Rhinolophus ferrumequinum: one gene and its partners. The protein of the gene in region 2 interacts with the protein of the main gene of each other region in a pairwise test. Links are inferred from orthologs where the notes say so. Each region holds a gene or a part of one and is shown on either strand. Other genes may lie near its edges.

Region 1 (7,764 bases), on a different chromosome or scaffold from region 2:
TGGACTCCATACATTTTATTGACTCTCTATGCTAAACACTGGGAGACACACAAAGAAAGGGTTTTATCCCTAAGGAGCTTACAGTTAAGGAAAAAGATAACCATATAAAGAGGATTAATGAAGAACACCAGGACCAAATGAGTGGTGGAGACATAGGAGCCCAGGGGAATCACTGCGGATGGAATGGTCAGGGTATGCTTTGCACAGGTGGTCGGAGTTGAGCTGGGTTTTCAAGAATAGGTTGCATGTGGGTAGTTGGAGCGCAGTGGAGCGAGGCCTTCAGGAGGACCATGGAGGAGAGAGAAGTGGCATGAAAAAGGAATTTGGGCCAGAATCCTTTGGATAGACGCCTTTGGCCTTGGATCACAGGGTGAGTGCCTGAAGACAGAGCTGATCTAGGCAGGCTGTGAAAAAACAGGCCAAAGAGGAAATTAGGTTTATCTTGTGAATCATGGAGAGCTGAAAAGTTTTTGAGAAGGAAAATGATATGACAAAACTAGGACTCTAGAGAAATCCCAAACATTTCTTCCTTCTTTCCTGACCATATACCCCTTATACAGGCTGGCTCCCCATACCCTCCACCCCCACCCCCACGTATGTGTTCCTATCTCCAACCCTGCCCTTTGTTACTAGGGGAATGCGCAAACTCTGTGCATCAGGATGCCACTGAGTCTGTTCGGATATTCTTTGATACCCACTACCTGGTTGGTCAGAGCAGGAGCTAGATTTTTTCAAGGATTAGGAGGCATGAGGAGATACAACTTTCTAACCTGAGATTTGGCTTCCAGCACCCTATGAATATCATATTTCCCCCAAAATAAAACCAGGTCTTATATTAATTTTTGCTCCAATAGACACATTAAGGCTTATTTTCAAGGGATGTCTTACTTTTTCATGTACAATAATCTACATTTATTCATGTACAAAAATCTACATTTATTCAAATACAGTCATGTCATCTTCTTCTGGAACATCGTCATAACTCTCCAAACCCTGAATTCTGGCTTGACTTTCTTGTGACTCCAGTTCCTGTAGAACCATTGGCTACAATCTCTCATGTCCAGCAATAGAGCTCTCCTTAAATGAGCACTTCTTGTCCGTGTAGCCTGCTCATAGTGCACTGGCAACACAGCGGTCAGTGATTTTATCCCATGAATTCTTCACCCAAGTCATGACCTTTTGCAGGCTAGGCTTCTCAAAGCTTCCACGCTGATTTCTCTCCATTCTATTTTCAATGAAGTCATTGATTTCCATGTGCAAATGGTCCCTGAATGGCTTATTTATTGCAATATCAAGAGTCCGGAGATACTCTTGCGGGAATCATTATTTGATCTATTCTTCTCACTGCAAGGAAGTTCTTTATGTCTTTAGCGCGGTGAGTGCTGGCTGAATCCCAGACTAGCAGACCTCTTTGGCTACCTCGCAAAACAAGTGGCAGCATTAAATTGACCCACTTCCTTATAACTGCTTGTATGCACCAGGCTTTTTCGTTTCAAGAACATAAATGCCGACACACATTCAACCTTATCTTTCTTGCCCTTAGTGATGATTAGAGGTGGGGCTTTCTTTCCATCCAGACAAATTGCCAAAATACAGGTAACACATGCACTTTTGTAACCAGTGGAGGGAATGTAGTAGATTGACAAGGCACCCTTCTGATCAATTGTCATCCAGCCAGTGTTGTGACGCTTTGAATTCTTCTGGGGATATTTCTAACTGCAGTGCCATTGCAAGGGCAATTGCTTGAATATCAGCCCTGTGCACAACCAAAGCCTTTGCTCTCCTGTCAGCAATCCATTCACAGATGATGTCTTCCAGCTCAGGAAATAATGGTTGCCGACCTGATCCACACTTGAGCTTCTTAGCATTTCCCTCGTCTACCTGTTAGCTGAGGTTATCATACTCTGCTTGCCATTTTCGGACATTCAGAGATCCAACTTCTCTTTGTAGAAAGCTGTAAGATTTTTGCCCCGGGAGTCCTCCACAATTCCTTTCTTTTACTCAATGGAATAGCTCTTTCTTTTTGCACTCATCTGGGGCTCAAAATATTATTCCCTTTAAATCTACCATTAAATCAAGTGTTAATTGAAGATGTAAGAGACAGGAGTGGCAACAAAAATGATGACAGTTAAGAATGATGGTCCACACAAAAGTGACGGAAAATTGCAGGCACCAAAATTCAGAAACATTTCTTTATTTCACACAAGTGCATTAAGTACATCTGTTACAACACACAGTGTATTGAACTATGAAGATTCATATTAGACACAACCATGTCCGTTGGTTATCAAGTGCGCACGTTTTTCCTGCGTTGTGTCTGTACTCCGATTGGTCATTGGGCAATAAGTCTCAAGTTCATCTGTTTACATTGGTGTTTACTTCTCATCCAAAGGCACCCACTTAGGTATTTACAAATACTTAATTACAGTTTGTATTATCATTTATTTTTAGTATTAATGTCAATGATATTATTTATTTATATTTAATTATATATTGATATTATTATTTTATAATTCAATACATCCATCATGTGTTGCAACAGACGTATGAAATGCGTCCATCTGGCTGACAATCTTAACTGGGGCTTATTTTTGTGGTAGGGCTTATATTACGCGCATGCTAGGGCTTATTTTCCAGTTAGGCCTTATTTTCGGGGAAATATGGTAGTTGCCTACAAATTTCGTTCCACACAAGTTAGTATTTAATAACCTTTAAATAGTTCACAGAGAATAATTCTGTTTCCTCATTTAAACTATAACACAGGAGACATCTGCTATCCCCCAAATCTGTTTACGTTCTGGCCAGAAAGAGTTTTTAAATGACTTTCTTCCTTCCCCTTATTACCAACAGGTCTAAAAATATTATTTCTAGTATTATACAGAAAACTGACAACTACAATGGAAGAATTTAAGTAGGATTAAATTGATTGGTTTTCAATACACACTGGACTGTGAGCTCCATAATATTTATTTCTCAGTGTGTAGTACGAATAGCATTAATTATTAGTTAGTTAACTAATTAATTTGTATTGACTGAATGAACAAATGGTAACTAAAGCCAACAGCTAAAATGCATATCTTGGAGATAAGTCAAGGCAAGCAGATTCATTTTCAAGTATATTTATTGAATTTCCAATATGTACCAGAACCTATGCAAAGGATTTTCACATTTACTCCTTCCTCATGCAACTCTAGTGGGTAGGTGTTATGATTTTATTTCAGAAATATGCAACCTAAGACACAGAAAATATTAAATAACTTACCCAAGAATTCAAAACCATAAGTTTTAATTCAAATTCCAAGATTCGTTCCTTGAGCTTTTCCCAAATTTATCGATCATAGCAAATACTTGAGTACTTTTTATTATAGCTTTCCAGGCCCCTCCTCAGAAGATTCTGACTCAGTAATTGGTGGGGGTCAGAAATCTGTACATTTAACATACATCTCTGGTGACTCTGAGAAACATTCCAGGAAGCTTCAGTCCTGGCAGCCCATTAGGAACACTTTGGATATGTTTAAAAACTTTAGATGCCCTGGCCACACCAAACAAATCAGTGGGAGGTAAGAGAGAAATCTCTGGGCATCAATATTTTTAAATTCTCTAGATTATTCCACTGAGCATGCAAAGCTGAGCACCACTGGGTTCAGTTCTACCACGCTAACAATAGTATTTGATGGATTTACCCAGCCTCCTCTAACCACCTCTCCACCCCTGGCCTTCCTTCCTGTCGAAAAGCAGTTCTACTACAGTGTAAGCCAGAAAAAAAGCAGAGATGTTTAAAAGAAAAGAGAAATAGAAGGAACAGAGATCAAGAAACTTTTTGTGACAAGGGATTAGTGAAAAGGAAATGATAGCTGTCAAAGGTGGTGGGGATGTGAGGGCTAAAGAGATAGATTTGAGATTTATCGTTGAAACAATTTAGTAACTCTAAGCAAAAGTTAAATAAAGCGGACAGTCATGTGAGTATTTTGCTCTCCCATTAAGGTCGTGCTGTTTTCTATGGAAGTCAAAGCAGTTTTTACATATTCATATATTTATCCTTCCTAGTGACAAGGGTGGAGGATCAGAAATTTCTGTCTGTGTACCTTCATCATTCTTATAAGTGGGAGCACCAAGGCATGTTGTGAGAATGAAGTCACTTTAGATCTCAGGGTTGGGCCCAACTGGCCCACCTAGTATTAAATGCCCAAACTGGTTCCCAGGCTTTGTTGCCACTGCTGCTATAACTAAGATATGCATATTTTATTTGACTGTAAAATGCTCGTGTTTATCAAGAACTTTGGTCCAGTATTTGGGAGAACAGGAACATGGTATTACCTGTATGCAGTCCTTCATCCCTGGAAGTCAAGAGAGGATCTAAAATAAATGGAGCAAGCTAATCCTGAAGGAAATTTATGTTATATATTTATAATCACAGAGATAACTCTGTTACATGGCATATGCCTATTCCAGTGGGATGAAAATACAGGAGAATTGAAATGTAGAAACTGTATGTATCTATGTAATTCTGGGGGGTGGGAAGGAAGTGATGTTTTTAGACTGTTGATTCTGATTTAGCAAATGCTGCATTATTTTGTGAATAAGTAGTATTAGAAAGAAAAACCAGTATTCTACCTCCTGCCTTTCTTGCCTGGGCACCCTTCACCCTTACTTAATGAAATGGAACAGTTGATGCCTTTAACTCCTCTTTCATTTAATCTCATTAATGCAGTCTGTTGGGATTCTAGTTGTGGAGTAACATAGAGACAGTCGTCAGACCTCTAGTGAAAAGTGCAATATTTTTCATTTAGATTTTTAATTGCGACATCAAAATGTGTGAGAACGAGCTCAAATCTAAAGCTGACGCCACTGGTGAGTTTTACATTTTCTTTTCTCTTCTGACGCTTAGCTGTATGAACTATTCTCCAGACAAGACAGTAAGCATTCATAAGGTCTCAGAAAAATAAATTAATGGCTAGGTGTGGTAACAATAAAATATATTCTGACTTCAGAATGTATATAATAAATAAGTCACTCAGACTTTATTTTACACTAGAGAACACATTTATATATAAATATTATCATATCCTGAAGGCTACCAAATGTGTGAGTTTTAAGATTGAATTCAAATAGTCATCTGCCACATTACACCAATATGAGGTTAACAGTACAAACATCCTTGTCACAATTTTGTAGCTTTGATTTTAATCATTGACACTGCTATCATTATGTTCATTTCAACTTTTCTAATTTTTTAAAAATTCAGTTCATAAATACATTATACCAGATACTTTGTCATATGTAAGAAATCTGTTTTCAAAAAGCAAAAATTCTATTTGGTTAAACGATGATTAACAATGAGATGAATTATGTTGTTTTTTCTCCTACATGTTTTACGTGGAAGTTAGTGCATAGTTACCTAAACATACATTTCATAACATAGGCAGGTTTTGAGTATTTGTCTTAAAAATATTTCAGGAAAATATGATGCATGATTTACTGTGATTTTTGCTAGTTGCTATATAGCAGTCAGCAACAGTTGGAAATATTAAAATGTAAATCGATGGAATTGCTTCATTCAAATAATATAAACGTTACAATTGTCCAAAAAGTTACTAATCAAACTAAATCTTATCTAAACTCAGCATTATATCTTTCTACAATGCTTACAGATTCCTGGTGCTTGTATTTTTAGAGAAAGAATAGATATTGTTTCAAGGCAATTATTTACCGGTTTCAAAATACACGTGTTTAAAAACTTTATTGGTGAAATAAGCCATTAACAGCAGATTGCAGTTCTGATATCAATGAAGTCTTAAACAACTATTTATCCTTATGACTGACAGATTTACTCAGGATATTGTTGCTATTGTTGTTCAGAAATTAATAACACTGGACGTATTAACGTCTATGTACTTAATCCTCTTTGGGTTTGAATTACAATTAGCAAAGGCTGACAGGTGAGCATAAATGTTCTTCTTTCCACTTATTTGATGTAAAAAGACACATGGATTTCCTCTGTTGTAAAATTACATAAAACACAGTGTTTGGTTTTAGGAGCTTACATCTGTATGCAAACACACAACTCATTTTCTAAATGAACTGCATGAATAAGTGTGTCTTTACATTTTGCAAAGAAAAGCAGATATTTTACTTTCCTCTTAAATTTTAGTGGAATTAAAAGGAATATCCTAAATTAAAGCTGCAGCTTTTTTTTTAAGTTACTACAGTAGAATACTTGGTGCCATGATTAGCAATTTCTGGTTTTCACCAGTCTTTTTCTTCTATTATTTCCCTCTATTGTTATTTTCCACCAATAATAAGTATGTCTGCTATTTTAGAAGTAATTCAAGCCTCTAAAGAAATGTAAAAAAAAAAAAAACCAAAAAACTTTTTCTCCTACAATTCAGTCCACCTGGTAGCATCAAAATTCCTTTGGTAGAAATTAATGTGTAAGAGAGACAGCTAACAACCATAAATATCTCCAAGCAAATGTAATTGTAAACTATCAAATAATGATTACGAATTTTCTGCTTGTACAAGAAAAAATTCAAAAGGAGGATTTGTTAAAATGGAATTTGAAAATCGCAGTCTCTATTCTTACTACTTTGTCATCGTGTTCGTACAACTCCTTCACTAGCTTACATAAACGCTGAATAAAGCTGTTAAAGATTACATGCAACATGCTGGATCTGATGAGCTCAAAAATAAGATAACTCGGGTCCTGTAATATCTAGGATTATGCTGGTAATCTCTTTAGGGAAAGTGTACAGTCTCAGCAGAACAGGTACCGCAGTCTTCAGAGGAGCCATGCACTAATTCTACATTTGTTGGGTGTCTATGCTTTTGCCTACATGGATACAGGGTATATGTGACATTTATCATAGGGTGAAATTATAAAGAGAGCTTCTAGAGTGACATCCTAAATTATCACTTTACCCCTAAATAATTTCTGGTGCTGCATGCTGAGGAGAATACCTTCCTCTAAATTCTATGTGTCCCCTTCTTTGAAAAAGGGCATCTATGTAAAGATGAACTAAACCCAAACATGCCTTTCCACAGCCTCTGAACTCATTTATGTCTCTAGAGATGAAGTAAAAATTAAGATTGTCTCTGTAATCCTATAGTTTCTTTTTATTTCAAGATTCAATGCTGAGGCAATGGCAGATGAATTGCAATTTGCTAGAACATAGATGATATAATAATGTAATTCTTAATACAGAAACTTGGGATATATTTTGCTATTATAGCATTGTTTATGTTAAAGACAAAATCAAAGCTCTTGTATAAAATGCAAAAAATGAGTTCCTAAAATCTGAGTTCTTATACAGCAATCACTGGTATCATTATATGTCCAAGGTGTTCTCCCATAAGTGAAAACTCCCTAATGTCATGTTGAAGTGCCTATTCATACAACGTTTTCCCTAAGTCAACCCTCTGATGGCAAAGTAACTCTTTGGGGCTACTGGTACTGGTTGTTCTTTTTCCATTTCTCTCTTTCTCTCTCTTTCTCTCTCTCTCTCTCTCTCTCTCTCCCTCTCTGACACACGCAAAACAGGTGTAAATATCTCACCCAAGTTTTGAAGTTGTTTATATAATTATTTGCTGCATCAAATAATTTGCTAAGGGCATATTAAAATACAGAAGTGTTTTTAAATATGACAGAGTGACAATATTACTGTTTAGTTCTCTGCCATTCAAGCAAATTGTAAGCTGTTATGAGTCAGTTAAATAAAGTTATTATTACATTAGGAAGAAAAAATGTTAATATGGCACTAACATTCG
Region 2 (7,535 bases):
AACTACATAAGAATTTTGAATCTAAAGAAATCTAAAAGAGATATGTCAGAGTCTATATCAATTTCTTTTGAGGGTTAAGCAATTGCACAAATTGTGTATATACATAATTTTCTTTCATAGCTTTATTCCCTACAGAACCTTCAATTATTTGGGAAAACAGATATGTACTTTGCTTTAGTTGAAAGTTATCTGAATACAATCTCTAAAAATTAATAGGCTCATGATTTACCCAACTGATTTATATACAGATGTATGTTTGTAATATCCCAAAAAGAAATTTTGTATTCATTTATGACAGTATTGCTTAATGAAATCTACATAACCCATTTCTACATAAAAAGATAAGATTCCACGTAATGTTTACTTTCAATCACTTAGACATGTTAAACTAACACATCATCAAAACTGACAGGTTTTCCTTACCTTCACTGGGATTTCTTGCCTTTAGATCCCTAACTATGCTAGACGTTTTCTTATTGGGGGAAAAACAAGACATTGTCCACATTTGTATTTCATTGCTGTGCCTGCCTTTTTCTCACACACTTTCGGCTGGTTTCTGTTGGTTAGTGGTGTTTAGCTATACTGTTATAACGACCACTCTATTTTCAGACTTTTTTTTAAGATCCAGTTTTCAGGATTTATTTTAGTGTAGAAATTGAGTGCCCTGGTTTTGCCAGTTCTTGGCACTCAAGCCCCACTGAAAGTAAAAGGCTCCAATCTCATTAGGGAAAACTGCATAGTAACCTGCAGACAGGGTGTCTAAACATCTTTATTTTAGCTCCTTAGACCTTTCTCAGTACTCAGGGCACTGCAGCACATCCTAACTGCTGCAGCTTCCAGCAGGTGACTGCCTCAAACAAACGATGGGGTGGAATTTACAGTCCTCAAGTAACTGGGTAGGGAGACTTGAAGAGCAAAACCCTGGGCCTCTTTATCCAGGAAGATGCTTGACAGGAATTAGCATAGTGGTAGTTCTGTGTTCTAGGGAAGACCATTTTTTTAAAAGCTTATTCAACCCCAAATGTATAGTGCTTTATTTCTGCCATATAGCCAGTTTACATTTTTAGTCCACCACCAGAGTTACTGGAGACAGTAGTTGTATCTACAATATGGTTAATGAGTACACAGTACATAAAATATAAACGTTGCTGCTTCTCTAATTGGCATAAAAGCCTAGATGCAAGAAAGTAGTCTTTATAACATAGTATAGGTAAACACCAGTAACCAACAAATAAAACCTGAGGTTTAACAAGATTTAGGTTTTCATTTTTAAAAATGTCCTTTAACGGTACTATTCAAGATTTCATTCATTCTCTAAAGCTGTGCTGTCCAACACAGCAGCAATTAGCTACATGTGGCCATTGAGCATTTGAATGTGACTAGTCCAAATCGAGATGTGCTATAGGTGTAAAAGCCACACTGGAGTTTGAAAACTTGGTGTAAATAAAAGAATACAAAATATCTAATGAATAATTTTTATGTTGTGTACACATTGAAATAATACTTTTGACATATTGGATTAAATAAAGTATGTTATTAAACTTAATTTTACCTTTTTATTTGTATTTTGAAATGTAGCTACTAGAAAATTTAAAAGTACATATGTAGCTTACATTTGTGGCTCAGTCTATATTTTTATTAAACTGTGCTTCTCTCGAGGCTGAGACTAACTACATCAGCGTGACTACACTGGAATTCGACCTGTACTTGTATATATTTTTGTCAGTTGTCATAGTTCATTAGTCACTAGTTCAAAGTTTATAATGTGGGTTCAATACTTCTGAATATATATTTTTGTTTTCTTCACACTGTTCTACTTTTAAACGGTGTTTGCCCTCTCCTGAGAACCCCTTTCCCACTTTGCCTACTTGGCAAATTCTTCTTACCTTTTAATAGTCAGTTGAAGCATTATTTTCTCTGTAAAATTTTCTCTGAACTCCCTTGTTCCACACCTGCACCCCAAGTAGAAATAAACACTCTGTTCTCTGGGATAAGACAGTATCTTGCCCAATATCTACGAAATGCCTACTGTTTGCTGAGCACAGTGATAGGTGGTCGAGGTATCCAAATGTGAACGAGAGGGATATGGACCCTGCGACTGTAGTGTTTGCATTTAGAGTGGGATACAGACATGTAAACACCAGGTCACAAAATGATGTGGAAAATGCTCTTATAGGAGAGATCAGGGAGCACATATATACAAAGCTCTCCCAGACTACTTCTTTGTGGATAAACATAGTGAGCCTGTACTATAAGTATTTGATCCCTTAGGAACCCTTGGTTCACAAAATACTTATGTTTTTAGGTATATAAACTGAAGGACATCTTTTTCACATCACCACTGGTTAAAATGAGAATTGTCTTTAAAACACAAATTACTGGGAGGGGGTTGGGAGCCTGGGTCAAACAAGTGAAGGGATTAAGAAGTATAAATTGGCAGTTACAAAATAGTCATGGGGATGTAAAGTACAGCATAGGGAATATGGTCAATAACATTATAACTGTATATGGTGTTAGGGGGGTACTAGACTTATCAGAGGGATCACTTTGTAAACTATATAACTGTCTAACCACTACGCAGTACACCTGAAACTAACATAATATTGAATGTTGAATGGCAACTGTAATTGAAAAAAATTTTTAAAAATACAAATTACTGAACAGGCATTCTTATGTTACACATATGCCCCAGTATCCTTGCAATGACTCTCCTAGCCAGAAAATTCAGGTATTAATTTTTTTAAAAACAAAGAACAGTAACAAAATGGCTCCAATTAGCATGATTAAGTAAAAATGAATTCCACAAAAGGTGTGCAATTTACTTAACATTAATGCACTATCAAAAAGAGATCAGGATTTCAGTGATTGGATTTCTGTGGAGTTGAGAGGATAGATTAATAATAAGAGGTGAATGGCGCTGTTAAGTCATGTGACAAGTGGCAGTAGGGTTTTTTACACGAGTGTTGAAGGGCAGGACTAATGCTTGGCTTGTTGGGTTAATTGTGTAACCTCACGCATTAGGAGGTTGTTTATCTACCAATCTCAATGATCCAAAACCTAGTTAGGAAGGAAAAAAAAAATGTTTTTCAAAGCAACATTTGAGCAGTCCAGATATCTATCCCAAAGTCTATGCACTAAGGTTCACCTGCCTTACTCCTTGGTGAGCTGCACAGAACCTATTTAGTTTTACTTTACATTGAATTGTGACAAGTGAGGCTATCTGGATTTCCCAGTCTGCAGCAGACTAGAAGCTGCAAATCGGAAGAGGAAGAGAATATCAGCGACAGACGTGTGCTGGCAACACAGAAAGGACAACAGATTGTTGGTTAGTGAAGGGGGAGAGAGAGGAACTATAAAAGGCAGAGATAATCACTAGGTCAGTGTCCTAGAGTCCTTTCCTGTAGCCATTGGTAGCTCACATACCTTCTGGAAGCATCCCTAACACCTAGGAAGAAGCCTTAGCGCACATTGAATGGGAACTTGATGTATTTGTTGAATGCAGTAGAACCTACTACGATAAATACTTTTTATAAAATTAACCCTGAATTTTCAAGAAAAAGCCAAAGGAAGTCCAGTAAATTGCTTAAGAGAAACATTGATGATACATGTTATAAAATCTTTGTACAAGTTAAAAAGAATTAAAAAAATAAAGTGACGCCTTAGAGGGCCAAGCTCTAATTATGCTGATCCTCACTTAATTTGAACAGTTTGCATCACTCCTGGATGAAGGATGTACTATACAACAGCAGACTTAGCACTAAGTTCCCTTGAGCAGCTTTCAAACTGCGGTATATGCAAATAATAAGCTATCATATGAGAATTAAACTATATAGGATCACAACAGATTGCAGTTGAATCACTAGGTGATGTAAAAGATTGTTCTAAAATTCACCATCACCATTAAGCAGAGTAGTCCTACTATGTGCCTAGCCCTACTATGTACTAGGTGCTGGATTTATTAAGCATTAATTTGAAAAACTGCTTTCACTTTTAAGATTGTGAAGATATTCCAAAACTCTCATTCATATTTTTAAAGCATAAATGAAATTTTAAATGCACAATACAGCCATTACATAACAGGCATAGAATACTGTTTTATGACTTGCATAGTTCTTTTTAAGCACACTAGCAACTCTATTTTCAAAAGCTATATGATTCTAAAGGATATGAAAACCTACATATAAAAACGGAGTGCCTCATTTGTTTTGTGTAATAAGTGTGATAACACAGGCATGCCATTTCGGAGTTTAGGGTGAGGCTTTAAGCCGTACTTTGGTGTTTCTATATCAAGCAAAAACAATTTCAGCAACAGCACTCATTTCCCCCTCGTCTTTTTTTTTTTTCCTGGCGAGTTACTAAATGCTAGATGCTAGAGTCAAAAAGAAACCTGACATCTGGGGAGGTGTTGAGGGGGTGTTAATAGTTATAGTTAGATGTTTGGGGAGCGTTGAGGATAAGATTTTATAACAGCAAATACAAGAAGGGAGAAATTATGATCTCTCCTCCCTCCACTTTCTCTCTTCACCAATCCATATTCCCTCAATTTAGAGGCGGGTTCAGCGAGATTAGGCTGCAGGAAACCCAGAGGCTCCACAGCGCTGCCGCCCGGGCCTCGTGATGTAATTGTTATTTCTTATTCCGAGACTGAACCGTGGAGAGCTGCCGAAGAAGTGGCAGCCTTGTTCCTTTCGCCTTGTCTGGCAGGGTCAAACTCTTCCCGGGGATGAGTATATTCGCTGACAAGACTCCGCTGGTGACTTCGCAGTGACAAAGCAGCTGAAGATAAAACCCTGCTCCTGGGTCCTTCGTCCGTCCAAGGAGCTGAACGGGACACTCCTCAGGTCTCCTTCCCAGTTTTCCTCTTGGAATCACTCCGCATTTATTCCTGGGTGCCTACTACGTGCTGGGCGTGGGGTCAAAGTGACCTGGAGTTAGTGCCCGTCCACCCTGTCCCCCTAAGATTAAAGCAGGACACACAGATCACAAGGTGGTGAAGTTGGGGGTGAGTGAGAGGGAGCCAAGGGAACGCGTGCTGTTGGGTGAAATGGGAGGAGGCGCCAGCACCCAGGCGGGGACCCTGGGCGTCCCGGCCCCCAGGCTGTGCCCCAAACGCGAGCCTTTGGCCTGTGTAACGAGAACGACGCCCCGGGCCCCAGGGAGGAGCTGTCCAGGCGCCTTCGGCAGTCGGGGGCGGCTGGACAGAGCCGGGAGCCCGGGGGACGGCTCGGGTGCGAGAGGCGCCCATCTCTCCCGGCCACCGCGGTCCTCCCGCTGCCTCGGGGCCCTACAGCCCCCGCCCGGCCGTTCGGAGGGCGGGCAAGGAGGAAAACAACACAACAGAGGGGGCTCCTCAGCTCCCGTGAGCGGCCGGGACCCGCGTGGCTTCCTCCGGCCCCGTGACAATGGGAGGGAGGGGGAAAAAAGGGTTAAGAAACTTGGCTGAGGAGCTGAATGGCGTGGAGCGGCGAGGGGAGGGACTGGGCCGCGGCGGACTCGGCGGCGGAGGGAGGAGCGCGGCTGCGGGCGGGCGGCGAGTGAGGCGCTCAAAGTCAGCCTCGCAGACATTGCAGCAGAGCCCCGAACTCGGGAGGCGGCGGCGGCGGCAGCGGAGAAGGAGGAGGAGGAGGCGGCCGCGAGGCGGAGGGACGACCCGGCCCCACGCCCGCCCGCGCGCGCCCGCCCGTGGCCTCGCGTCCGCCGCTGCGCTTGGCAGCGCTGCGGCTCGGAGGGAAGAGCTCGCCCGGGCGCCGAGGGAGGACGGGGCGGCAGGGCGCCTTCGTGGAGTGAGCCTGACGGAGCCCGAAGCTCGGAGCCGCGGCGGCCTCGGGTGAGTGGCGGCCGCAGCCGGGGGGCTCGGAGGAGCGGCCGGCGGCGCCGCCGGAAACGGCTCGGGAGCGCGGCCCGCGGCGGCGGCGGCGGCGGCGTTGGCGGGCAGGGCCGCGGGGGCGTCGGGGCGGCGAGGCCAGCGCGACCCGCGGCGAGAGCGAATGCAGACAGCGGGGAGGGCTCGGCGGCGGGGAGGAATCGTTTCCGGGGGAATCCCGCCTCTTCTGCCGGCTCCGAATCTCCCCGGGACCTCGGGGGGCCCGGGCAGCGGGGCCGGCAAGTTGTGGAGTTGGCCCGGGGCTCACTGGCCGAGCTGTGCCAGTCCTGGGTCGAAGGGCGGCCGTGTGCCCTGCGAGCCCGGCCAGACGCGGGGGACCGGGCCGGGGTCGCGCCCCGCTCGGCTGCCCCCTCGGCCCCGAGTCTGGGGCGCTTCTCGCCGCGCAGCTGTAGGTCCTGCTGCCCGGGGCGTCCTGGGCGGCGCCGGGCGCCGCTCCCCGCCTATCGCCCGGTGCCTCCCTGCTCTGAGCTTGCCTGATTCCCGGCCAGGAAAAGTGAGTAGGAAAAGGGACAGCGCTCCCAGACCCCCAGCCCCACGCGCGGCCCGTCGGCACTGTCCTTCCCCCTCCCGAGTGCGAGCGCCCTGGACCCGAGGCCTCAACCATCAGCTTTACCCCTGAGCCAGAAAACGGACTCACATTTAGGGTGAGCCCGTGGAGATCTTGGGAGCCTTCTTTTCTCTCCCCCTTCATCTATGTTCTCCTTACTACTAGTGATTGTTGTTGTTTTATGAAGGGTTTCCCTGGAAATATTCCACAAACCCTCCCATTCTTTCCAAAATAGTTGACAAATTTTCATCAAGAGTTGGTTGGTGTTCAGTCTGAAGGAACAAAGGAATCAACTGTGCCTGAGAGGCGAACGAGCTGGGAGTCAGTGACACATGTTGATCTCTGAAGCATTACGGGAGTTTCTACCTTCTGTCCCATTAGTGACTTAATAGGCTTCTGGGGATAGTAAAGTAACAGAATGATAAATACTTTTGAGTTTTTAAAATATTTTTTAATAGGACATTTTATTTGGAGGCAAAAAAAAAAAAAAAAAAAAATTCCCAGCTCCAAGGACTTTTCACTCACTTGGTGGAACTGAGTTGGAGTTTGTTTCCAGTAATGTAGAAGATTAAATGTGAGATTGTACAGGAAAAACTGTCTTTAAGGGAAGGAAGATTGTCTATAGATGTCCAAAGGAAAAATGATTGTCAGTTTTTATATGATAAATTCTCTTTACATTTTTGGGGAGGCATTTCTGAAGTAAAGGGCTTTGGTAATTCATTCTTTAAAGTTATGAATTGCGTTGAACCTGCTTATTAGTGAATCATAGGTTTAGCAAGTGGGTGGCATCTTCCTGATGTAATTATTCAATGTTTAATCACCAGTTTGCTACCTTTGTTGAAGAGACACTGAAGTAAGTGGACGTTTTAAACAAATGGTGCTTCAACTGCTTGGCACCTAAGTGTGGGTTGCTGCCTGGAAGATGTTGAAATATTTTTCCTTCGAAGTAAGTTGTACTGGTTTTGCTCAGCCATTTGGTAATGTGGATTGGGTTTAACTGGTTCAGAGACTAGTGGATTCATGACCAGTAGTAACTTTTCTCTGCCTGCAATTAGTTCCTGGAGACAAAGAAGAGGCAGTCAATGGAACAGCCACTGTAGGCTG
Region 3 (7,061 bases), on a different chromosome or scaffold from region 2:
CGCAGTGCCCCTGGCAGCAGGCGCTGGGGTAGCCCCCGGGCGGGCTCCGGCACCAGCAGCACATGGCCCCACTCCAGGGGGCTGACATTGATCAACACGAGGATTTCCTCTTGCTGGAGAACATCTGGGAGACCGGGCTCCCGGTGCAAACGGAAGAGGACTTCTCCTGGCCGGATTTTGTTGAAGTTAAACTGTTCAGGGTCAAATGGCTGCCTCACGCTCCTGATGTTCTGGGGGGGCCTCCTCTGCACCCCTCGCTCCACATTCAACTGAGCCACAAAACCCACAGTACCAGGGAGGGTTTGGGTCTGCAGCTCCCCCAGGCAGTAGCGGAACAGCCCCAGCTCCATCCGCTGCCTCCAGGCAGAGCAGAGCACAGTGTCGAAGCGAGACAGCGGCAGCGTGTTCAGGAAGCTGGGTACGTTCCTCGGCCACTGAATCCCTTCCTGCATGAGGTCCTTCTGTCCATAGACAAAGTCAGGAATGCCTTGCCCTTCCCAGTCCTCTTTGTTCGGAGGTAGCAAATACGAAGTTTCATTTGAACCATGTGGAATAGCCATGGGCTGACCTGAAACAATCATAAGGGGTGAAAAACACAAGATGCCAACCCTTTTCCATAGATTTAATTTTCAAATAAACTCTACTTGTTTTGATTACAAAAGTAATATATGCCTTTGGTAAACATTTTGAAAACACAGAAATCACTCATAATTCTACCACGTGTAGATTAGCATACATTTTTGCTAAGTTAAAAATATATATTGGAATTAAAAAAAATTATATATGCTAAGTCAATTTTTTTTTTTCTTTTTTTTTTTTTTAACTTTTATTTATATAAGTGTGTTTTTCCAGGACCCATCAGCTCCAAGTCAAGTAGTTGTTTCGATCTAGTTGTGGAGGGTGCAGCTCCCAGTGGCCCATGTGGGGATCGAACCGGCAACCTTGTTAAGAGCACCGCGCTCTAACCAATTGAGCCAACCGGCCACCCCTGAGTCAATTTTCTTAATGGAGAAAAAAAAAAAAAAAGATAAAATACAACCCTAATTTCAACGTCCAGGGAAAAAAAAAAAATCACTATTTACACTTGGCCTAAGTTTCATATACAGATGGATCTTGATTTGTAATTGTACATACAGGTTGTTGCTAATTTCATATTATCATACAGAAGGTTGCAATGAATATCCTGTGTATCTACCTTTGCCTATATGTTTTTATTTTCCTTTAAAGTAAAATCCCAGTAGACCACTGGGTCAGAGTAGGCTCATGGCTCAGGCTTTAGATATACTCCGTCACACTGCTCTCCAAAAAACTATACCAGTGTTCCAGTGTATGAGAATGGCCAGGGTTTCAAAGCTGACCATGCCTCCTTTGATGGAGATAGCTTTTCTACTGTTCGGTAGAAAAGTGATTCCAAATGATTGTGCATAGAGCCACTTGGGTGAGGGTGGCCCGGTGTGTGCATAAATGCCCAGCCAATACTTCAAGGGGGAAATTGGTGCCTGTCTTCATCTCCCACTGGGGCCCTGGAGTCCCGTGGATCCAGTGGTGTCCGGGAGAGAGACCTGCTGTTGGCGCAGATGGAACTTCAGAAGGAGACTTACCTCAGTAGAGTTGCTGCAGTCCAACCTTGGGTTCCCTCTGCTCTGCTGGTCCAGAACCTTCACATTAATAAAACAAAGGGAAAAAAGAAATAAATAAAAAAACATAAAAAACATACAAATGACATACAAAAATTTAAGCTGAGTTTCACGGGTATAGAGTTTCAGTTTTGTAAAATAAAACACTTGTAGATCGGCTGGCTGCACAATGTGAATATACTTACACGCTATTGAACTGTACACTTAGACATGGTTAAGATGGTGAATCTTCTATGTTTTCTTACCAAAATAAAAATTTAAGTCAAGCTAAGCGTAATTTTGACAATAACATGGAAAGGCTTAAATTATTCTATTAAAAGCGAGTTTCAAACATTTCTCCAAAGAAGATACACAAATGGCCAACAAGCACATGAAAAGATGCTAACCATCACTAATCATTAAGGACACGCAAATCAAAACCACAATGAGACACCACCTCTCACCCATTAGGATGGTTACTATGAGAAGAAAAAAAACAGAAAATAATGGGGTTGGTGAGGATGTGGAGAAATTGGAACCCTTGTGTACCGTTGGCAGGAACATAAAATGATGCCACTAAATGACGGCATTTCCATAAAATGATAGAAAACAGCACGGTAGTTCCTCAAAAAAGTAAAAAGAGAATTACTATACGATGCAGCCATTTCAACGTCTGGGTATACGAGGCTGAACCAATAGGGCCTCTTGATATCCTGGCTATGGGGACTGTAGCAAGAGGGAGAAGTGGGAGTGACTCAGCTGCCGAAACTAGGTACACTGCAGTGGCATTTACAACGAGAGAGAATTTAGCTTAGTGCTAAATTTCTTGGGCAAAAAAAGCCTACTGTCAAGATCATCAGGTTCGGACAGAACTCCACCGCAGTCACTTTGACTGGCTGTGGTGTTCCCATTACTCTGCAACCTCCGCTTCTTGGAATGGAATATTTCCACAATGGTGGGGCTCACACGGTGACATAGGGAGTCTTACCAGAGTCGCTCTCCGATGATCACCTTACTGTTGAGTGCTGGGAAAACTGGTCACTCAGCAAACACTTCCTCAACAACAGCCACATATCAGGTCCTAGAGATCACGATTCTCATAGGTCATCAGTCTAGTGGTGGAAACAGACATTAACCCAATCATCACCCAAGTAAACAAAAACTGCAAACATAATACATACTGTCAAGGACGATCAGAGTACCCTGACACTCTGAGGGGGTAAGAGATTCCTAATCTAGTCTAGGGAATCAGGAAAAGTTTCCCTGAGGATAAGATGGAAGAGGAACTGAAAGCCCATAGTGGCTGAAACACAGAGTCTGAGGAGACAGCAGAGAGGCTCAAGTCAGACTACAGAGGGCTGGAATTTGGGTTTCAAACCACTAAATGGTTGTAAACTAAGACTGACATGCTCAGATTTAGATTTTACAAAGATATGCACGTAGAATTAATTGGAAGAATCAAGAATTAATCCCTCGATTTTATCTGTCATGTATACCTCAATAAAACTGAAAACAAAAGCGAATTCTTCTCACCTCAACCTCCTCCTCTCAGCAGCCTGGACAGCTCCCCTTTTGGGATAGTGTAGGAACCTGCACTATCATTCATGCTTGCATCCGATAAATACTTACTGAGCCTACTCTGTGCCAAGCATTGTCCTAGGGGTTTTCAGGGGCAAGAGCTAACAGGTCAGCACAGTCTGGGTGCAGGGTGGAATATTTCTACAACAGTGGGGCTCACAGAGGAAGGCACATGGGTGGGAGTGAAGGGTACAACAGTGGGGAACTTTGAAGAGAGACTGAGAAGGGAGTGACGACTTTCTAAATGCCAGAGCCTACCTACACAAGTCTCTCAATCTCTCGGGACCTCTGTACTTCCACATTTTGAAATGGTACCCTACCTCGTAGGGCTGTTGTAAGAATCGAAGTAACTATGCACACATCTTGGCATTAGGTGGGTCCTCAGTAAACAGCCTCAGTAGGCAGCAAAGTTATGGTTATTTCTGGAGCGGTGGCAAGAGCTCTGCAACACGCGAGGCGGATGCCGGGTGGTAACGTCTGGATGGAAAAGCAGTCCCTGAGCAGAGGGGTAGTCGAGGGCCTCTGGCCACTCAGCGAGTTTTTCAGTTAACGTGGCTCCAGAGACTTCCCTTCTGCCTCTTACCGGACCTCGCCCAAGGTCGCCGTCGCGACCACCTGCTGCTGGTGAGGAGGATGAACCGCGCGACTTGGCTCAAGGTCCTACCGCGGCCATTGCGAGGGCGTGGTGCTCTCAACGCATGCGCAGCCTGCACGCACGCACGAGGCGTGCCCCGCCCCTCTCATCCCCGGAGGCGGAGCCGTGCAGCCTGGGCCCCGCCCCGGAGCGTCCGACCCCGCCCTGGGGCCCGCCTCCAAGTTGCCGGGGACCGCCCGGAGCCGGGAGCCGGCGGCGGAACCCGGCTGGGATCTCCTGGGCGCGTTAAGGAGGGGGCGGGCCCGGGGACGCGGGCCCCAGGGGCGGTTGCCGCGGGGACGGGGTGGGGACGCGGCCCGAGGGCGGAAGTGAGAAAGTTGCCGGCGTCCCGAGACGAGTCGGCGGAGCTGTGCGCGCGGCTCGGCGATGGGGGGCTCGGGCAGCCGCCTGTCCAAGGAGCTGCTGGCCGAGTACCAGGTGCGCGGGACTCTGGGCCCCGGGGAGCTTGCGCGCCGGCCTGAGCTCGGGAGCGGAGTGGGAGCGGGCAGGCGGGCGCGGCCTCCGGGCTGTCCGCTGACCGCGTCTTGATCTGCCTTCCAGGACTTGACGTTCCTGACCAAGCAGGAGATCCTCCTGTAAGTGCCGTCGCGAACCTCCTCTCCGGGATCCTCTAGAGATGGCTTTCGGGGGGCTGTCTTACAGATGGGCAAACTGAGGCCCCGGCAGAGGGAGGGGCCTGTCTGAAGTCGGCCAAGGAGCCGGAACTGGAGTCCAACGCCCGAGCCCTCGGCTGCGCAGGGCTGCGGGCACGCCCTCCCCGCCCGCACGGGGGCCCCACCTGTGCAACCTCCAGCCGAAGTTGGGCGTGCTGTCACTCTGTGCTCCACTGACCTCTGCAGACCCGAACTGCCCGGCCCAGGCCGGCGGGGGCTGCTGTGGCTCTCGGCTGATTGCCTACCGGCAAAGCCAGAGAAGCCCTGGGGAGCCTGGCTCCTTCTCCCAACTTTAGCTGAATACAGAACCGTTAACGCTTACTGAGCACTTACTCTGCGCCAGGAACGGTGCTGAATTACCCCTACATTACCTAATTTAATCCTCCCGAGGGAGGTACAGGGGCAATGAAACAGGTCCAGAGAAGACTGGTAAGTTGCCTAAGACTCTGAGAAAGAGGATTTGAACTGGGGCTGGAACCCCCTTCCTAGCCGTGTGCCAGCTTTATGTGGCCAGAGCTTCCCTTGGCTAAAGTAAAACCAGTGGGAAGGAGGTGGGGCTGCGGAGGAGATAGATCCTTGTGGCTCCTAAAGAGGGAGGCTTTGAAGAGCAGACCCCTGGCTTTCTGCCCTTTCTCCCTGTTCTTCTGGCTCCTTTCCCAACCTCCGTCTCTCAGGAAGCTCTAGAATCAGTGCCCAGCACACAGTAGGCCCCCTGGAAATACTCAGTGCAAGATTGGATTCCCAGCCTGTACCATCTTGTGACATCTATCCTGGCTTATCAAGCCTGCCGACTCAGTTCTGTGTGTGTGGCTTAGCTCCTCACCTGGTGTGCAATGGACAGTACTGGCAAGAAGCAGGAATGTAATACACACAGGAAGGTACACCAACGGGTCCCCCTCCTTCTGCCAGAGCCCACAGGCGGTTCTGTGAGCTGCTTCCGCCGGAGCACCGGAAGACGGAGGACTCACTGCAGGCACGAGTGTCCCTGGAGCAGATCCTCAGCCTCCCAGAGCTCAAGGTGCCAGAACCCCCACCCTCCCTCTGCTACTCATCTTGAGGTCCTGCGGTCACTGGTTCTCTTTCTGGTCTTTTCTCTGTTTAGCCCTACTTTCCTGGGAGCAAGGGCTTTACCTAAATCACCCACTGGAACCATCTAGAATGGTGTTTTTCAAATGGGGCTTCTAGGGCCTGTCTTGGAGCATCAAAGAGGGAATTGAGTTACCTATTCAAGGTTTGAGAAACCCTGTTCCAGAGGCTATTGCCTCTCAATAGGGCTGCTAAGAAAATTTCTCTGTCCAGCGCTCATTGCACAATAAGCGTTCAGTTAACTCCTTGTGTTATAAATAACCAGCCTATCTTGTTCTCTTTGCTTAGGCTGCTTCCCTCTTCCTTCTCTGCCCTCAGGCAGACCTGGGGGTTAACCTCTGACTCCCAGAAGCTGCCCCGCCCCGTCCCCAGCTGGGTCACTGGTCCTGCCCCCATGCTGGCCCCAAAGTGCAGGTCATTCTCCCCCACGAGCCTCCTCCCTCTCATTCCCGGTAAGGTTTGAGTGTGTGACTGGGCTGTGTCCTGCGGCATTCACAGAGGCTCTCTTCCTAGGCCAACCCCTTCAAGGAGCGAATCTGCAAGGTCTTCTCAACCTCCCCAAACAGAGACAGCCTGAGCTTCGAGGACTTCCTGGACCTCCTCAGTGTGTTCAGTGACACAGCGACGCCAGACATCAAGTCCCACTACGCCTTCCGCATCTTCGGTGAGGCCCGGAGGAGCCCGGTGGCACTCATGGCCTTCCCCGTGGTCTTCCCAGGGGAACTGCTGGGAGCTGGGCGTCACCCTTGGAGCTCATCCCCACCATATCCTCTTGGGCTTCTGTGTCTGCTGTCTAGATTTCGATGACGATGGAACCTTGAACAGAGAAGACCTGAGCCGGCTCGTGAACTGCCTCACAGGAGAGGGCGAGGACACGCGGCTCAGTACTTCAGAGATGAAGCAGCTCATTGACAACGTGAGTATCCGGGCCCCGCGGGGATGGGCCCAGGAGCCGAGGGCAGGGCTGTGGCTTTGGCCTGATGTTTTCTCTTTCCCAGATCCTGGAAGAGTCCGACATTGACAGGGATGGGACCATCAACCTCTCCGAGTTCCAGCACGTCATCTCCCGTTCACCGGACTTCGCCAGGTATAACACCGGACTTCGCCATGTGGTTATGGGGGTGGTGCCCGGTGGAGCCCCCCGCTTCCTCTAACTGTCTCAGGGTAGCTCTTCTTCCAAAGGGAACTGACAGATGTGGGACACAGTGCATTCCAAAGGGGAGAGATGGAAAAGGTGGCGTTACTCCTAACACTTCACTTCCAGCAGAAAATCCAACCCACTCTTCTTTTGTTTAGCTCCTTCAAGATTGTCCTGTGACGGGAGCCACAGCGTGTGTCCCAGAACCTTTCCAAAGAACCTTTCCACTGCTGAGCTGTGGCCAAGGTTACGCCCGTGTGCCAGAGCCGCCAGGCCGGCCCAGTCGAGCTGGCAATGCGCAGTTTGTCCTGGGTGGGGGAGGGCTCTCCATGTCA
Region 4 (7,494 bases), on a different chromosome or scaffold from region 2:
AGTGTGAATGTACTTAATACTACCCTACTGTACACTTAGATGGTTAAGATGGTAAATTTTGTTATGTGTATTTTACCACAATTAAAAAATTTGGAAACTGCTAATTTTGACAGTAGCTAGCATTATATGCTTTTTCCTGCATATTTTCTCTTAGGAATCAGGGAGAGTTATGTTGATTAGGCATCTAATTGAAACACGAAATTATATACTCATGATTAGTAAATGCCCATAGATGTAAAAAATATATATATATAAAAATTCCTCGATCCTATATTCTTCTCCAGCTACCAATCTCTCTCCTATCCCTTGTGGTCAATCAATGTTGATTAGAAGTGGTAGGTAGCACTTTTGTATTAGGTCCTTCTTCTTTACCTGGGCCGTTCTGCCTCCTTTACCTGGCACGATGGCTCCTTGAGGCAGGGTCCATGTCCTGGGACTCCTTTAGCTCTCCTGTCTCAGCACAGTAGCACGCCTACTGAAAGTGCTCCCATCTTTGATTAATAGCCTTGACTTGGTGAAATCTTATATTTTAAACTCATTTCCTCATATTCTTTGCTTATAACAAATATTTATTGAGTTGTAGTGGAAGGTGAATATAGTGTGTGCCTCCAAGGAGTTTAAAATCTAACTTGTACTTACTTCTTTCTCTCCCATCCCAACTCTACCATTTCCAAGAAGGATTCAATGTAGTTGTAATCTAATATAAAGGATTAAATTGGTTTGTAAATAACTATAGGGGTGCTAAGAGTGAAAGAAGTACTAAGGCATAAAATGCCAACTACTTCAACAGTGCATTTTGCATATTCTTTAAGGACATCGCTGGTTTCCTGTAGGAAAATAACAAGAGATCAGAGTGGAATGATGGGTTGGGGCAACATAGTGGAATGCCTTGAATGTTAGAACAGTGTGACTTACTAGAGAGGTTGGTGGGAAGCAGAGGGCTGATCAGAGCTGGGTTTTAAGAATGTTAACCTGGCCGGTCGTGGACCTGGAGAAGGAGCTAACTAGGGACAAGGAGTAATAAGGAGCCTGTTACAGATGCGCAGATAAGAAGTAATGAGAACTTTCAGATGGTGGCAGAAGACAGAGTGGGGAAAAGATACTCTGAAGTGGGTAAAAAAATGCGTTGGTGATTCAAGGTAATTGGATGAAGAGGAGAAGTCAAAGGTAACTGTAACGGGCTTTGTCATGAACACAAATAGGAAATGAGTGGTTTAGGGGAGGAAAATGATGAATATTACTTTGGATATTGTATTAATTAACTAGTGCTCTGTAACAAAGTATCATAGAATTTTTATAGCAACTTAAACAACGAACATCTCACAGTTTTTGGAATCAGGAATCCAGGAGCAGCTTAGCTAGGTCGTTCCAGCTTAGGTTTTTTCATAAGGTTGCAATCAAGATAATTGGCCAGAGTTATAGTCATCTGAAGGCTTGATTGGGGCTGGAGAATCTGCTTCCAACGTATCTCACTCCCATAGCTGTTGGCTGGAGGCGGTAGTTCCTTGCTGGCTGTTAGCAGAACGTCTCCATAGGGTTGCTTAAGTGTCCTCACAATATGGCAGTTACTTTTCCTTAGAGTGAGAGATCCAACAGAGTAAGCCAGGAAGAGGCTGCAATGCCTTTTATGACCTAGTCTTGAAAGCCACATACCATTCCTTTTGCCATAATGTATTCATTAGAAATGAGTCATTAATCTAGTCCATGCTCAAGGGGGAGGTTAGGCGACACCTTTTGAAGGGAGAAGTGTTGAAGAATTTGCAGGCTATTTTCAAACCACCATAGATATATTGTGTTTTGAGGACAAATGGAGGAAAAGCATTCAAATGAAAATGTCACGAGGAAGGTAATTCAGAGCCTTAGATAGCTAAGTTGCCTACATATGGAAGTAGGTGATAGCTGGAGTTGAAGATATTAAAGATGGAGAACTTCTCAAGGCAAGTTTCTTTACTTAATGATCTCTCTCAAGGAGTCTCATTATTTATTAGTCATCTATTGTTCCCTTTTCCACATTATATTATTCCAGTTATTCTTTTTTTTAAGGTTTCCATTTTTAATCTTGTATTTTTTTGTTTTTTCTCCAAAGCTTCCTATGAAAAATTTCAAACTTATGGAAACATTGAAAGATTAGCATAATGAATGTCCATATGTCCACCATCCAGATTCAATAATTGTTAACATTTTGACTTATCTCTATCTATCTATCTATCTATCTATCTATCTATCTATCTATCTATCTATCTATCTAGTTATCCATCCAAATATTTTTTTTCTGAACTCTTTTTATTAGGTGGCATTCTTTTGTAAGGGGTTTCCCTCTACAGAGCCTCTTTAAAAGGCAGGGTACAGGCTTAATTTTTCCCCTTAATTACTAATTTTCAGAATGAGGAACTGGTGTATCAATCACTATCGATGGTAATAAATGATTCTATTCTTCTTTTTTTGATTAACACTATGGACTCATAGCCCAGAGGGTAAAAGTATATGTAATTTTGCTATATATTGCTATTTATATTACTATATATATAAATATCCAGGGGGGTTGTGCCATTTTGCATTCCCACCAGCAACATAGGAAAGAGTCCCTGTTTTCCACAGCCTTTTCAAGGGAATCTGTTGTCAAATACTTGAATTTTTTCCAAACATGATAAATGAGAAATGGTATCTTGGTAAAATTTTAATTTGTATCTCTTTTATGAATGGGATTGAGCGTCCTTTTATGTGTTTTGCTTTCTCTTTGTGTGTATGTTCTATTTGTGTCTTTTGCCTGTTTTTCTAGTGTATTTTTTTGTCTTTTTTTTAAAATCTTAATTTAAGGGTTCTCTTTATATACTGGGGACATTATCCCCTTTTTTCTAATCTAAGTTGAGAATATTTTTATTTCCAAGTTTCATTAGTCTTTTGACTTTGCCTATTGTGTGTTTTTATGACATGCCAAGTTTTACTTTTATGTACTGAATTGATGTGCTTTTATGTACATCCTTTTTTATTGCATCTGGATTTTTAGCCATAGTTAAGGTTTTCCCCACACCCATTTTATAAAGGGATTTACTTTGTTTGCTTCCAGCACTCGTGCAGCCCCTACCTGTCCTTTCCCCCTTTTCCCCCTTCCTTCCATTTCTCTTTTAACATTTGGATCTCTGAACCATTTGGAGTTTATTCTGACATGCATTCTTTTTCCACTGGCAATTCGGTTGCCCACTGTTTTCCCAGTGATTTGAGATGCCACCTTTATCATATACCAAATTTCTGAAAACATTTGAGATTTTGGTTTTGCTGTTTTGGGATTTTCCATTCTGTTATGTAGCAGTCTGGGCCCAATCAGAAGATAGAAAGCACATAATAGGTTGAACAGGGGAGGTTTAATATAAAGAATTACTTATAATTAATTACCTATGGTAAGGGACTAAGTATAAGATATAAGGAAACTTTATATGGTACCCTAGAGCTGAGAGAGCAAACCCAAGGAAGGACAAACTTAGAAGGGATCAGACCTCAGGGGGGAAGGTGGTTGGACCATTAACTGGCAGAGATGTTCGCTGATTTAGCCAGGCTGGAGCTGGTCAGGAGTTGCAGGCCGGGAGCGGGTGCTCAGTGACTGGCGGTGTGGGCATACCCCAGGAGGCCAGGTGCCCATGGGGGCAGAAGACCTTCAGAATTGCAGGTCATGTGGAGTGAGGAGGCTTGCAGGGGGAATGACTTCTCAGCATGTGACTCCTCAGGCCACAGTCTGGACAGGTGATTGTGGAAAGTTTATCACCACACAGAGGCCGAAAGTTTGCAGTGGGACCTCCCTGTGGACACGTGGCTGGGCCAGACTCCATTGCATGTTCTCAGACCCACACTGCCACCCTCGTCTTGCTACAGTACTCCTGCAGCGCCCTCTACTGAAAAAGTTTAGCATTGGCTCACTTTAAATACTACAGGAATTCCATTTATTATAGAGCATATATTGAAGGGTGCATTGGAAGCTGAGAGACAATGAATTGATAACTGACACAGTTACATTGACCTGTCTATTCCTTGTTTTTTATTATTGGCAGTTCACAGTGTATTTGAGTATCTATTAATGCTGGTCCTGCTCATTGATCTGCTCTTTCAGAGTTTTCCTGGTTGTTCTTGTTTATTTGTTCATAAGAACTTTAAAATAAACTTGTTCCATATTAAAAGAAGACAACTTATTGACATTTTAATTTAACCCTGTGTTTTTAATTTTAAAAAGCATTTTATAACAAATTCTCATGGTAAAAAATATTCTTGTGGTTAACAACAACAAAAGCAATAAAGAAGTGAATGAAGTAGAAAATGAGAGTTCCGTGCCACATATTCCCATCCCTCTGAGGTTAATATTTTCATGTATATCTTTCAGGATGTATTTCTAAGTTCATACAAATGCGTGTATGTGTTTAATAAAAATGTGTGAACACTTTGAACAGGTATGCCTGTAGCTCCAACTAACTTAGAACTGTCCTTTGTTGTTCTTTCCAGCCATTATACCTGCTCATGAGACTTTGAGAACATTACAATGTCGCTTTGTGGCTCTTCTCGCAAGGAGTTTCCTCAGATATTACCCATTCAAGACATGGATATCAAAAACTCACCATCTAGCCTTAATTCTCCTGCCTCCTACAACTGCGGTCAATCTGTCCTTCCCCTGGAGCACGGCCCCCTATATATACCTTCCTCGTATGTGGAGAGCCACCATGAATATTCAGCCATGGCATTCTATAGCCCTGCAGTGATGAATTACAGTCTTCCCAGCAGTGTTGATAACTCGGACGGTGGACCTAGTCGACAGACCACAAGCCCAAATGTGTTGTGGCCAACTCCTGGACACCTCTCTCCGTTAGCAATCCATTGCCAGTCATCACTTCTGTATGCAGAACCTCAAAAGAGTCCTTGGTGTGAAGCAAGATCATTAGAACACACCTTACCTGTAAACAGGTAAATCCAGTCTTCATTCTGAATTGTATTTCATGAGCATTATTCAAATCACTTTATGATTTAGTGAGAAGAAAGATGTGTATATACAAGGTTTTTATTAGTCATATAGATTACTCAGAGCATCTAAAGCGTGATATTCTGAATTCTAGAATATCTATCCTGATATTTTAGCTGTCATTAAAAAGTTGAGCTTGTAGATTTGTGTGGTGGGGGAGAATTCACTATCATGACTACTGTCTTTAAACAATAAAGATTGAACTTAAATCACATTTCTCTTGATGAAGTGATTTGTCTTTGAAAAATACATTTTTATTTTGCTTTCAGTTTGAATCCTTCTTATCTGGTAGTGAAATCACAAGTTAGTGTTCATGACAGATTGCATCCAGGATATAAGTACCTGTGGCAGTATTACAACTTAAATGAAATACTTGACACGTGAAGCCTGAAAAGACAGACAATTGGTATACTAACTTTTTAACAATGGACTAAAATAATATTTTGTAGAGATTGATGGGAAACTGTTTAAATGTAGACTTTAGTTGAAATTTTTAGAAGTTAAAAAGAATATTTGTTTATACTCTTTAAATGCAAGGTAACACGGTGGTTATTGCCATTTAATTCGTAATATTTTTAATGATAATTATAGCTATGGAGGGAAGGGGTGGTATAGGGAGACGCATGAGGGGGAGGTAAACTTCTAAAACAACCAAAGTCTAAGTTACAGCATGTTGGATATTGAAGTTCATTACTTTCAAATGCTGTCATAAAGCTTTGAGAAAGCCATATTATACAGGGTTTTAATTTTTTCTTCCTTTTAAAGAACTTTGTTGGCAAAATTAAAGACTATATAGAAATTGTACATAGCTTTTTTAAAAGTTTTCATTGTCTTTCATGGAAGAAAAGTTTGGTTTCTGAGCATGAGCTCTAATCAGAGTTCTGCTAATATTTGGGTAATTTAAACCATAGTATAATTCCCTTCATTTATAGATCAGTCACACCTCTACTATTTCCTTTCCAAAAGAAATGAACCCCAGGGAAATCAGGAACCAGACGGGTGTGTTTTGGGGGCCTCCCAGTGCTCCTTTCGTGGGCTCTCCCTTCATCTACGGAAGTCCTTGCCCCTCCACTCGGCAATGAGCACCTGCTTTCTTCAAAGCCTTCTCTCAGGACACGCGTGTGTTCACTCTGTCTCCTTCTGTTCTCTCTTCCCTTTTTTCTGCTCCCTTCCCCTCCCTTCCCTTCCTTTCCCTTCCTCCCCTCTCTAAACCAGAATATAGCATTCACCTCAATGTAACTTAAAGTCCATTTGCTACTCCTCTTAAAGTTCTTTTCATCCTAGACCTTTATCTTAAATTGCAGAATGAATTCTGAATCCCAGGTTACCTGGGAACTCTGAAGGGCTGTTGAGGGCCCTGTGGGGATTGACTGCCTGATGCGTGGGCGTGGTTAGGTGAGTTTAGGCCCCTCCGTGCATGTCGGTGAACTTCGGTAACTTCGGAAGGCCTCCACACACCTACTCGTGGTTCAGAACTGTGGGCAGGACTCAATCTGGTCACTTATCCCATGCAAAGCTGTGCACCACGATGGCTACAAGTGGTCTTCCGTAGTCACTAGTGCTCATCAGTCCTGCATGGAAGGGCATAAACTCACCTAATCACCTGCAGACCTCAGTCATTCCAGCAATGGGACCCTTCACAGATCTCAGTAACAGAGGTTTTGCTTTAGCAGATTTCCTGGAGTGTATTTGTCATAAACCCTGGAGGGCAAAGAGATAAATGGGGCAATGTTCTTGCTGCTTTTCTTTCTCCCTAGAAAGTTCCTCCTTTCCCCTTAATGCTCTTTTCCAATGAATGTTTTCTTTGCCTCCAGAGAGACACTGAAAAGGAAGATTAGTGGGAACAGTTGTGCCAGCCCTGTTACTAGTCCACGTTCAAAGAGGGATGCCCACTTCTGTGCAGTCTGCAGCGACTACGCGTCGGGATATCACTATGGAGTCTGGTCGTGTGAAGGATGTAAGGCCTTTTTTAAAAGAAGCATTCAAGGTATAAGCGTATTGTTAGCTGCTGCTTTAGTTTTCACTTACTTTCAAACAGTTTTGCAGATGACCTGGCAGAAATGTCACTGTTGGCCTGTTTGGTACTCAATGAGCAGTTCAGAAGATCATGTGTGTTTGGGGGTGAGGTAGATGGGAGGGTGGATTGTTTCAAGTGTAGAGCGCTTTATCTTTCATTGTAGATCTCTACCCCAGAACCCCAGACCTCAGATGGTCTCGCCCTACCATTATCCATCACCATCTTCTTGAGAGCAGATATGTAGTTACAACCCTTGTGAAGATAAAGCCTGGAAAAAAATGCACACTCATTAGAAATTGCAAAGATTGTTCCTTCCCTTGACTTATGCTTAATACCCGGCATGGGTAGCAGTCGTTATGGTGGGCTGGCTCCTGAGGAATAGAGAATAAATACATTTTATGGAAATGGTCAGAAATCAGGAATTCAATTCTGATGGACTTTGAGCATTGATCTCGGGGTGTTTCTTACCCTGAACTAG

What was found.
Region 1: the proteins of NRIP1 (region 2) and RORB interact in a two-hybrid assay, tested with the Homo sapiens proteins (2 studies listed by BioGRID). The link is inferred for Rhinolophus ferrumequinum from reciprocal best matches to the Homo sapiens genes NRIP1 and RORB.
Region 3: the proteins of NRIP1 (region 2) and CIB1 interact in a two-hybrid assay, tested with the Homo sapiens proteins (2 studies listed by BioGRID and IntAct). The link is inferred for Rhinolophus ferrumequinum from reciprocal best matches to the Homo sapiens genes NRIP1 and CIB1.
Region 4: the proteins of NRIP1 (region 2) and ESR2 interact in a two-hybrid assay, tested with the Homo sapiens proteins (2 studies listed by BioGRID, with this or other methods). The link is inferred for Rhinolophus ferrumequinum from reciprocal best matches to the Homo sapiens genes NRIP1 and ESR2.

What each region holds. Positions count from the first base shown.
Region 1 is NC_046295.1:40,121,110-40,128,873, forward strand, and holds the start of RORB (nuclear receptor ROR-beta), read left to right. Parts: upstream 1-4,762; 5' UTR 4,763-4,811; coding exon 4,812-4,851; intron 4,852-7,764. UniProt on the Homo sapiens protein: Nuclear receptor that binds DNA as a monomer to ROR response elements (RORE) containing a single core motif half-site 5'-AGGTCA-3' preceded by a short A-T-rich sequence.
Region 2 is NC_046285.1:11,293,160-11,300,694, forward strand, and holds the start of NRIP1 (nuclear receptor-interacting protein 1), read left to right. Parts: upstream 1-4,530; 5' UTR 4,531-4,841; exon of another isoform or gene 4,842-5,002; intron 5,003-5,636; exon of another isoform or gene 5,637-5,827; intron 5,828-6,051; exon of another isoform or gene 6,052-6,377; intron 6,378-7,535. UniProt on the Homo sapiens protein: Modulates transcriptional activation by steroid receptors such as NR3C1, NR3C2 and ESR1. Also modulates transcriptional repression by nuclear hormone receptors.
Region 3 is NC_046311.1:4,054,676-4,061,736, forward strand, and holds the start of CIB1 (calcium and integrin-binding protein 1), read left to right. Parts: upstream 1-4,058; 5' UTR 4,059-4,215; coding exon 4,216-4,266; intron 4,267-4,389; coding exon 4,390-4,424; intron 4,425-5,411; coding exon 5,412-5,520; intron 5,521-6,101; coding exon 6,102-6,252; intron 6,253-6,385; coding exon 6,386-6,504; intron 6,505-6,586; coding exon 6,587-6,675; intron 6,676-6,884; coding exon 6,885-6,906; 3' UTR 6,907-7,061. Other genes in the region: GDPGP1 (GDP-D-glucose phosphorylase 1), read right to left, coding at 1-560. UniProt on the Homo sapiens protein: Calcium-binding protein that plays a role in the regulation of numerous cellular processes, such as cell differentiation, cell division, cell proliferation, cell migration, thrombosis, angiogenesis, cardiac hypertrophy and apoptosis.
Region 4 is NC_046289.1:31,538,853-31,546,346, forward strand, and holds the start of ESR2 (estrogen receptor beta), read left to right. Parts: upstream 1-4,482; 5' UTR 4,483-4,525; coding exon 4,526-4,944; intron 4,945-6,813; coding exon 6,814-6,986; intron 6,987-7,494.